Linked DNA regions of Cricetulus griseus. The protein of the gene in region 2 purifies or fractionates together with the protein of the main gene of each other region. This does not show direct contact. Links are inferred from orthologs where the notes say so. Each region holds a gene or a part of one and is shown on either strand. Other genes may lie near its edges.

Region 1 (3,905 bases), on a different chromosome or scaffold from region 2:
CCTGTGTATACAGTAGTCTCAGCTGGAAGAAGCTAAGACCCACAACGACACCCTGGGAAAACTGGAGGGAGGGTGGTGGTCCTCCGGGAGCAAAAGAAAAAAAAAAAATCCCCAAACCAAAAAGGAAAGAGGGCCCGAGCTTCTTCCCCCAGCCGCTAGCGAAGAGTCTCATTTTGGCAAGAATCTGAGCAAAACCAAAACAAAACAAAAGGACCAAATAAAATGGTGGTTTAGCATAGACGTGGACATTGACATTGCACAAGGCACCGCTGGGACACAGAGACCAGATACAAGTGTTGATATCGGATGATAAAGCAAAATATTTGGGAAGCTTGTCATAACTCCAGTCCCTCTGGGATGGATCGATTGTGCTTCAAGTTCCTTCAGCAACAGCGGCTGGCGACATACAGTACACACAAGGCTGATGGTCCCGGTGTCCTTTCATCCCCTCTCCCCCCAAGACCAGAAACTTAGGTTCCCGTCTCCCACTACTCCCTTAATCACATGGCTAACTTACAGCCTAGCTTTCTGGTCTAGCTGGGGGTGGCGCCCCCCATTCTCCACGAACTCACCCAGGAAACTTAGCCTGTTGCAAGCTGAGGTGCGGAGTAAAGGTGGAGGTGGGAAAAGTAAGAACCGTGCACCTCCAAATGGATGAGGGGGAGGGGTGCGGGAGGGGTACTCTTACAGACTCAAATCCCCAACTCCCTAAGTCCCTCCCCTCTAAGGACAGGGACGGAGGGGCAGCAGCGGAGCGCTGCCTGCCGGGATCTCAGCTTCCTGAATCTTCTTTCTCCTGCCCTGGGCCTGCACCCTTCATGCTCTCATGGGGGGGGGCCTGCCGCAGCCTCGGAGAAGGCAGGGATCCTCCAAATAAAATATCAAGGCACATGTGTGCTCCCCCTACTCGGTAGGAAAAGGAGCGAGTTCTGAGTATCCAAGGCACAGGGTGACTTCCTTACTTAATACTAGAACGGCCGGGCGGGCTCCCGGCTCAGCTCCGCGGACAAGTCTCCCGGGCTCCAGGAGAAAAACTGCGGCCTGACTCCCTCATCTTAGACGCACCGAGTCCCGGCTCAGAGGAAGGGAGGGGACACGCGGAGTAGGCCAAGCTCTCAGACGACAACACCGCCATCTCCTAGTCCTGGCTTTCACGGGCCCGGGGCAGCCTGGAGATGCAGCGACCCGAACTCATTCTCCGGGTCCCCGGCCAGGGGTGGGGTGGGGTGGCCGGCCCAAAGGCGGTGGGGTCCCGCAGCCGCGCGCCTCACGCGCAGTTGCCCATGGCCTTGACCAGGGAGCTCTCGGGCAGCTGGCGGAAGATGCCCCGCAGCGTGTCCAGTTCCCGGCTCAGCTGCTCCACCCGCTTGCGCAGGCGGTCATTGTCACTGGTCAGCTCCAGCACCTTCTGCTGCGTCTCCACGTTGCGCTGCTTGGCTTTGTCGCGGCTCTTGCGCACCGCGATGTTGTTGCGTTCCCGCCGCACCCGGTACTCGTTGCTGTTCTTGTCCACCGACTTCTTGGCCTTGCCCGCGCCTGCGCCGCCGGCGCCCCCGGCGCCCCCGGGGCGGAGGTCGGGGTGCGCGCCAGCCAAACCCTTGAGCGCACCCCCGGGGGCGGGCAGGCCCGCAGCCCCCAAAGCGGGCGCGGGGTGCGGGCTGGGCACGGGCGTGGGCGGCGGCGTGGGGTGGCCGGGCTGCAGGTGCATGGTGGTCTGGCCGCAGTGCGCGATCTGGAACTGCAGGTGCGGGGCGGCCAGGTGCGCGGGAGACGCGTGCGGGTGCACCGGCGGCGGCGGCGGCGGCGGCTGGTAGGGGAAGAGGCCGGCCAGCGCCAGCTGCTTGGCCTCGTCCTCCTCGCGGGGCTCCTGCTTGATCACCAGCGGCCGCAGCGCCGGCGCCCCGACGCGCTCGTACAGGGGCTCCAGCCTGCCGTCCAGGTAGCCGGCCGCCGTGCAGCCGTAGCCCGGAGGGGGCCCGTGCGCCCCCGCGGACATGACCGCGCCGCCGGGGCCCGTCGGGGCGCCCGGGTAGTCAAAGTCACCGCCGCCGCCGCCGCCGCCACCCGCGGGGCCCGCGGCCGCCTTGGCCTTCTCCTGCTGCCGGCTGTGCTGGAAGAGATCGGCCAGGAACTCGTCGTTGAAGGCGGCCGGGTCGATGTAAGCGCTGATGTCTATGGACGTCTCGTGCTCGCAGATGCCGCCCAGCGGCTCCGGGGCAGCAGGTAGGGCTGGGGGAGGCGCGGGGCCCGCGCCCCGGGGGAAGCCGAAGGCGGCGCTGCTACTGCTGCTGCTGCTGCTGCTGGTGGGCGCGTGCGGGGGACTCTGGAGGTGGCTGCTCATCGGGGGCCGCGGCTCCGCCTCGTAGAAGTCGGCCGGCTCCATGGAGGAGTTAGAGTTCTCCCGGCATGGCGAGCCTCACGGCGGCCTCCAGCCTGCGCGTGGCGCCGCTGCCTCCGCCGCCGCTCGCCCGCTCACCGCCGCCCGCTCGCCGCCCGCCCCGCCGGAGCCCCCGACTCGCTCGCGCGCCCCGCGCAGCTCCGGGTCGCGAATGGTCAGGCCCGCGCGCGATCCGCTCTTATAGGGGGATCGGACGTCGCCCCCTGGTGTCCAAGAGGGTCCCGGGCCCAGGGCGAGGGCAGCAGGGCGCCTGCTGGGTCTTAGAGCCCGCTGTCTGTCTCTCGCTCGCCCTCTGTGTTTCTCCCAGGCGGCGAGCGGGGCGGGAGCACCGTGCAGGGGGAGAGGCGGTGGCGCAACGCCCACTGCCTCCTGCGCTGCGAGGCAGCCCGGCCTGCGCTCGGCCCCACCCTGGCGGCGCTGTCGCCCCCGCACACACGTGGTCCGCGGCTGGGCGCCCCTCCTGCAAGCCTGCCCAAGTCACCCGCTTCCAGCCAACACCGGGGAGCCCGGGAGCATCCAGAGGCCGAGCAGGGAGGGGTAGGGGTAGGGGGTGGAGAGGGAATATTCGTCTTGAGCTACCGGGGTGCAGACTGGTCTTAAAGGCTAGGACTAGGCCTGTCCCCCCCCCCCCCCCAGCCAGGGACCTAGCTGCTTTGTGACTTGCTTTGGAGCGGCGACCTGGCGCGCGCCGCAGAGTGGCAGGGGCCGGAGCGCTGAGATTGTGTGTGTCTCTCTCTCTCCACTCCAGGCGACCCCGCTGATTATTCCAGGCGGGGCGCCTCTTCCCCGCCCAGCCAGCCTCCCTACCCCGGGGTCCCGCGGGATCCGCCGAGCAGGGCGCTAGGACCCAGCAGGGAGCGAAGGCGGCCGCTAACCCGGGAGTCCCGAGGACCTGGCCGGTCCATCCGCTCCGGCTGGAAAACTTTCTTTTTAATTACGTCTCCCGGCCAGAGCGCCGGGGTTGCTAGGCTTCCAAGGCGGGCGCTGCTGCCTGGTGTGGAGCCTCTAGCCGAGCGCTTGGGACCTCGGGACCGGCGGGTGGGTCCTCCGAGACTCGGGGAACAGGACACCAGGGCAAGCGCGCGGGGGCGGGGAGAGGGCAGGGTGTGGGAGAGAGAGGGAGGGAGAGAGAAAGACAGAGACAGAGAGGAGGTGAGCGGGATCCCCAAGCGGGATCCTTAGTCAGGAGCCTAAAGCCACAGGTTTCTTTCCCTCCTGTCATTCGGGTGGGCGCCAATCTCCGTCGCCTGAGTGTCCAGTCCCTGGCTACGGAGTCTGAGCACCCCCTGGGAGTACCCTGTCGGGTCCCGGGGATCCTCGGGGCCGCGCCGCCTGCAGGCTCGCAGCTTGGGTAGGAGTTTGCCTGCATAGTCTCCCCAGCCACGTGGCGTTGGCGACGGGCTCATTCTCCACCTGGATCGCGGCCGTGGAGGTCGGGGGCAGATGGGGCCTGGTGAGCACCCAAATCTCTGCTTTCTGCACCCCGAGGAGCCTTTTGCGGCTTCCT
Region 2 (3,905 bases):
TCAAACTCAGGTCCTTACACTTATGCCCTAAAAGCTTTATCACAGAGCCACCTCCCTGGCCCATGCCCACTACCAGCAGCAGCTGTGCTCCAGATTCCTCCATCTCCGGTACCACCGACTGCACAGGCCGCGGCCCTCTGGGGGAAAAGGCTCCTCGGGGAAGAGATACCTCTCGAGGCCAGTCATCTTCTGGGGGCAATCCAATGAGACTGTAGGGATAACACAAATCTGGTCAGGGGGGCTTTTTCCAGTTTCCATCTCCAGGGCCAACTGCCATTTGGAATTGAGCAGAAACTGAATTAAGAATGGGGAATTTTAGCCGGGCGGTGGTGACTCATGCCTTTAATCCCAGCACTTGGGAGGCAGAGGCAGGCGGATCTCTGTGAGTTTGAGATCTTGTAGACCAGCCTGGTCTACAAGAGCTAGTTCCAGGACAGCCTCCAAAGCCACAGAGAAACCCTGCCTCGAAAAAAACAAACAAAAAGGGGGGGGGGGATTTCTTTCCCCTTTATTGGACACTTACTCAAAGATTTTGCCCAACTGGTCAGCTTCAGAGTTTCCACAGAAGAGAGGCCTAAGGTAGAAAAATATTCCAAGTATATATTATTTCAGAAATAAGGGAATGATAATCAAAGTGGCTGAGATTAGAGAGGACGGAGAATAAGGGAACACAAAGTTCCTAATTCCTAGACATTTCAGGAAATTTGCCTGCATCGTTTCTGGTTTTAGGCAAGTTGGTGAACATAAACAGGATAGGTTGGGACTATAGCTGGGTGGCAGGGCACGCGCCTGATAAATACAAGAGCCTAGGTTGGGGCGTCCAGTGCCATATGCACAAAAATGGTCAAGAACGGGTATGTCTTGTAAAAAGACCCAGGGGCGGGGAGTGTAGTTTAGTGGTATAGAGCATTTGCCCAGTGTATGTGCAGTTCTGATTTCAACCTCTAACACCATAAGTAACATCAAAAGATTTGTGTAACTGAAGGGACCTAAGAGTTCCACACCCTGAGCCAGGTGGTGGCGGCAGGCGGATCTCCGAGGGAGTCACAGGACAGCCAGGGCTACCCTGTCTTAAAAAACAAAAGTTTCAAGCCCCGTACTTTCGACGAAACATCTCTGCAAAGATACAGCCAACGCTCCACATGTCCACGGGTGTTGCGTATGTAGACTGCAGAAGAACTTCAGGAGCACGGTACCAGAGTGTAACAACCTAAACAGAAGAGGAGAAACGAGTGAGAGTCCTTTTCATGGCTCATAGCTGCTGGGCTTTGAGAACGTCAAGCACAACACACCTCAGCTGCTACGGGAAATCAAGTACTACCTAAAGCCGAATCCCATTGGGGCTGCCATCTTTCCACTCACCACAGGTGTGAGGGCCATCTGGTAGCTGTAGATTCTGGCCAGGCCAAAGTCAGCCAGCTTGACTGTCCCATTACTAGTCACCAGAATGTTCTCCGGTTTCAGGTCTCGGTGAACAATGCAATTTGCATGAAGAAAATCCAGGCCGCTTAGAAACTGTCGCATCAGGTCCTGGTTTTGAAGGAGAAAGCCCCGGACACCATGTAACACGCTCAAAAACCCCAAGAGTCCCTACTACAAAGACCCGGATCCACCTCTCACCGAGCAGCCCGCTCACCTTGATGGTCTCAACTGGCAAGCCTGGTGGGGGTGCTTTATCCAGGTATGTCCTCAGATCCTGATCTATATGCTCAAACACGAGAGTGACCTTGATGTCTCGATCAGTTCGGGAGGTAGCACAGACATCCATTAGCCTGACAAAAATAAACAGTCGCCAGCCGGTCAATGTCCTTTGTTCCAACGTGGCCTCTGGAGTCCTAGGGTCCCACTCCCGACGACCACACCCCTGGCTTACAGATCCCATTCTTTCCTCCCCACTCCCAATCCAACCTCCTCACCGTACAACATTGGGGTGCTCGAAGGCCTCCAACCGCCTCAGTAAGGCCACCTCGCGTACAGTGCTGATGGGAAGGCCCCCTCCAGCTCCCCCTCCGTTGGGAACTCGCACACTCTTGAGGGCCACAAAGTGGCCACTGTGGGGATCTCGGGCCTTGTATACCGTCCCATAGGCACCAACACCGATTTCAGCCACCGGTTCATAGCGGGAGGTAGCCATTCTCGGAGCAGGGAGATCTCCTACAATCACAGAGGCTTCTAAAACCAAGCCCTCCTTTCCTTCACAGCTAGGAGGGGGGATGACCCAGCAGTAACAAAGGAATTCCTGCCCACGACCGCACCGACACAGCCGCCCATCCCCTCCCTCCACGCTGCCAGAGTGCCGCGCCTCAGGTAACACAAAAGACTCTCCCACCGAGCCCTCCAGCCACGTGATGTCCCGGAGGGGCGAAAAAGAATGCATTCCTCCCGGGGAGGAGGAGGGGGGAGAACGGGACATCGCACCGGGCACAAAGAAGACCATCACAATGCACGGCGTTGGCATCGAAGGTTGCACACTTTATTCCCTAAAATCACACGCTGGCCGCGACCACAAAGGCCCCGCTTCCCGCCCTTGGGCCATCCTTCCACAACGAGGGGATCCATAGGGTGGTGGCGGGGCGCCGGGCCCCATCCCTGCAAGCGGCTGCACTCACCTCTCGCCCGGCCAAGAGCTGCGGAGGTGGCCCTTTATCTGGGCCCGGGAGCCGGTTCCTGCGGCGCCATACACCGGGGATCGGTCCCGGGCAGCTGGACGCTACGGGCCAGACCATAGACACGGGCCGCGAGCTAGAGAGGCCCCCCTCACCCCCACCCTCCCCATGTGACCAGCAGCCAGGGAGGCGCGCGGAAACCGGGGGGGGGGGGCGAACGCCGGACGTTCGCGGCGGACACGTGGTCTCCATCCATCCATCCATCCATCCATGCATGCGCAGTGGATGACCTGGGATGGGGGGGGCGAAACTCGCTCGGGCACGTGACCTGTTGCTATCCCACGTGACCCCTCAGCTCTGCGCTGGGAAGCAGAGGCGTGGCTACGCCGCCTACCACGTGACCCGCCGCCAGTCCCTGACTGCCGAGGGGGTGTGTGGGGGCGAGGGAGGGTGGAGCACCAGGCGGTGCCATGGCAACCGGGCCAGCCGGCTCTCAACTCTGGGCTCAAGGCCGAGCCTGTGCGCATCTCTCCGTCTCACTCCTTGTCTGGACGTGGGCGGGGAGGTCCGGGTGCTAGTGGGAGATCCTGGTACCAGAGATGGGACTGTCACATTTTTCACTCCAGCGCCATGGGGAAGGAGCATTCGTATACTGTGCCTTCGTTTTACTCATTCATTCAACAAAAATTTTACTAAGGGCTCCTTTCCAGTTGGTATGTGATGTTTTTGTTTTGGTGTCTCAGCCATTCGCCCTCTGAAGTAATGATGAGGGTATCTAATGTAGGCAAGTGTGGCCCCTTATGAAACAGGGAGTACGATTCCTATCCAAGAAGGAAACTAGGGCTAAAAGATGGACAGCAGGATTAATATACTCAGTCACTGTATGGGAAGAGTGGCAACGTAATGCCCTCCCCTCTTCCAACTTGCAAACCTCCCTGGGAATATTAAAAGCAGCAAGGAGTTATTGGAAACTCTGTTGTTTTGTTTTTTTTCGAGACAGGGTTTCTCTCTGTAGACCAGGCTGACCTCGAACTTACACAGATCTGCCTGCCTCTGTCTCCCAAGTGCTGGGATTCTGAGATTAAAGGCGTGCACCACTACGGCCCAACAGGGTGCCTGATCTTAAAAGGCTCTTAACACTAAGATTCTGTATTGTGTTACATATGTATGTAATTGTGCATATGAACAGACAAAACGGTGAGCGTGTACAAGGGCGGTCACCAACACCACTTCAGACCACCATGTTGCCCGAGAACGTCTTGTGTCCCTCTGCAAACATGCAACTCATCATTGGTGTCA

The links.
Region 1: the proteins of Cdk4 (region 2) and CCAAT/enhancer-binding protein alpha purify together in Homo sapiens (affinity purification with western blotting; 3 studies listed by BioGRID, with this or other methods). This does not show direct contact. The link is inferred for Cricetulus griseus from reciprocal best matches to the Homo sapiens genes CDK4 and CEBPA.

Annotation. Positions count from the first base shown.
Region 1 is NC_048602.1:3,364,041-3,367,945, forward strand, and holds the start of CCAAT/enhancer-binding protein alpha, read right to left. Parts: upstream 2,508-3,905; 5' UTR 2,384-2,507; coding exon 1,268-2,383; 3' UTR 1-1,267. UniProt on the Homo sapiens protein: Transcription factor that coordinates proliferation arrest and the differentiation of myeloid progenitors, adipocytes, hepatocytes, and cells of the lung and the placenta.
Region 2 is NW_023276806.1:130,641,241-130,645,145, forward strand, and holds the start of Cdk4 (cyclin-dependent kinase 4), read right to left. Parts: upstream 2,768-3,905; 5' UTR 2,610-2,767; intron 2,155-2,609; 5' UTR 2,135-2,154; coding exon 1,917-2,134; intron 1,773-1,916; coding exon 1,637-1,772; intron 1,531-1,636; coding exon 1,363-1,530; intron 1,211-1,362; coding exon 1,101-1,210; intron 575-1,100; coding exon 524-574; intron 210-523; coding exon 74-209; intron 1-73.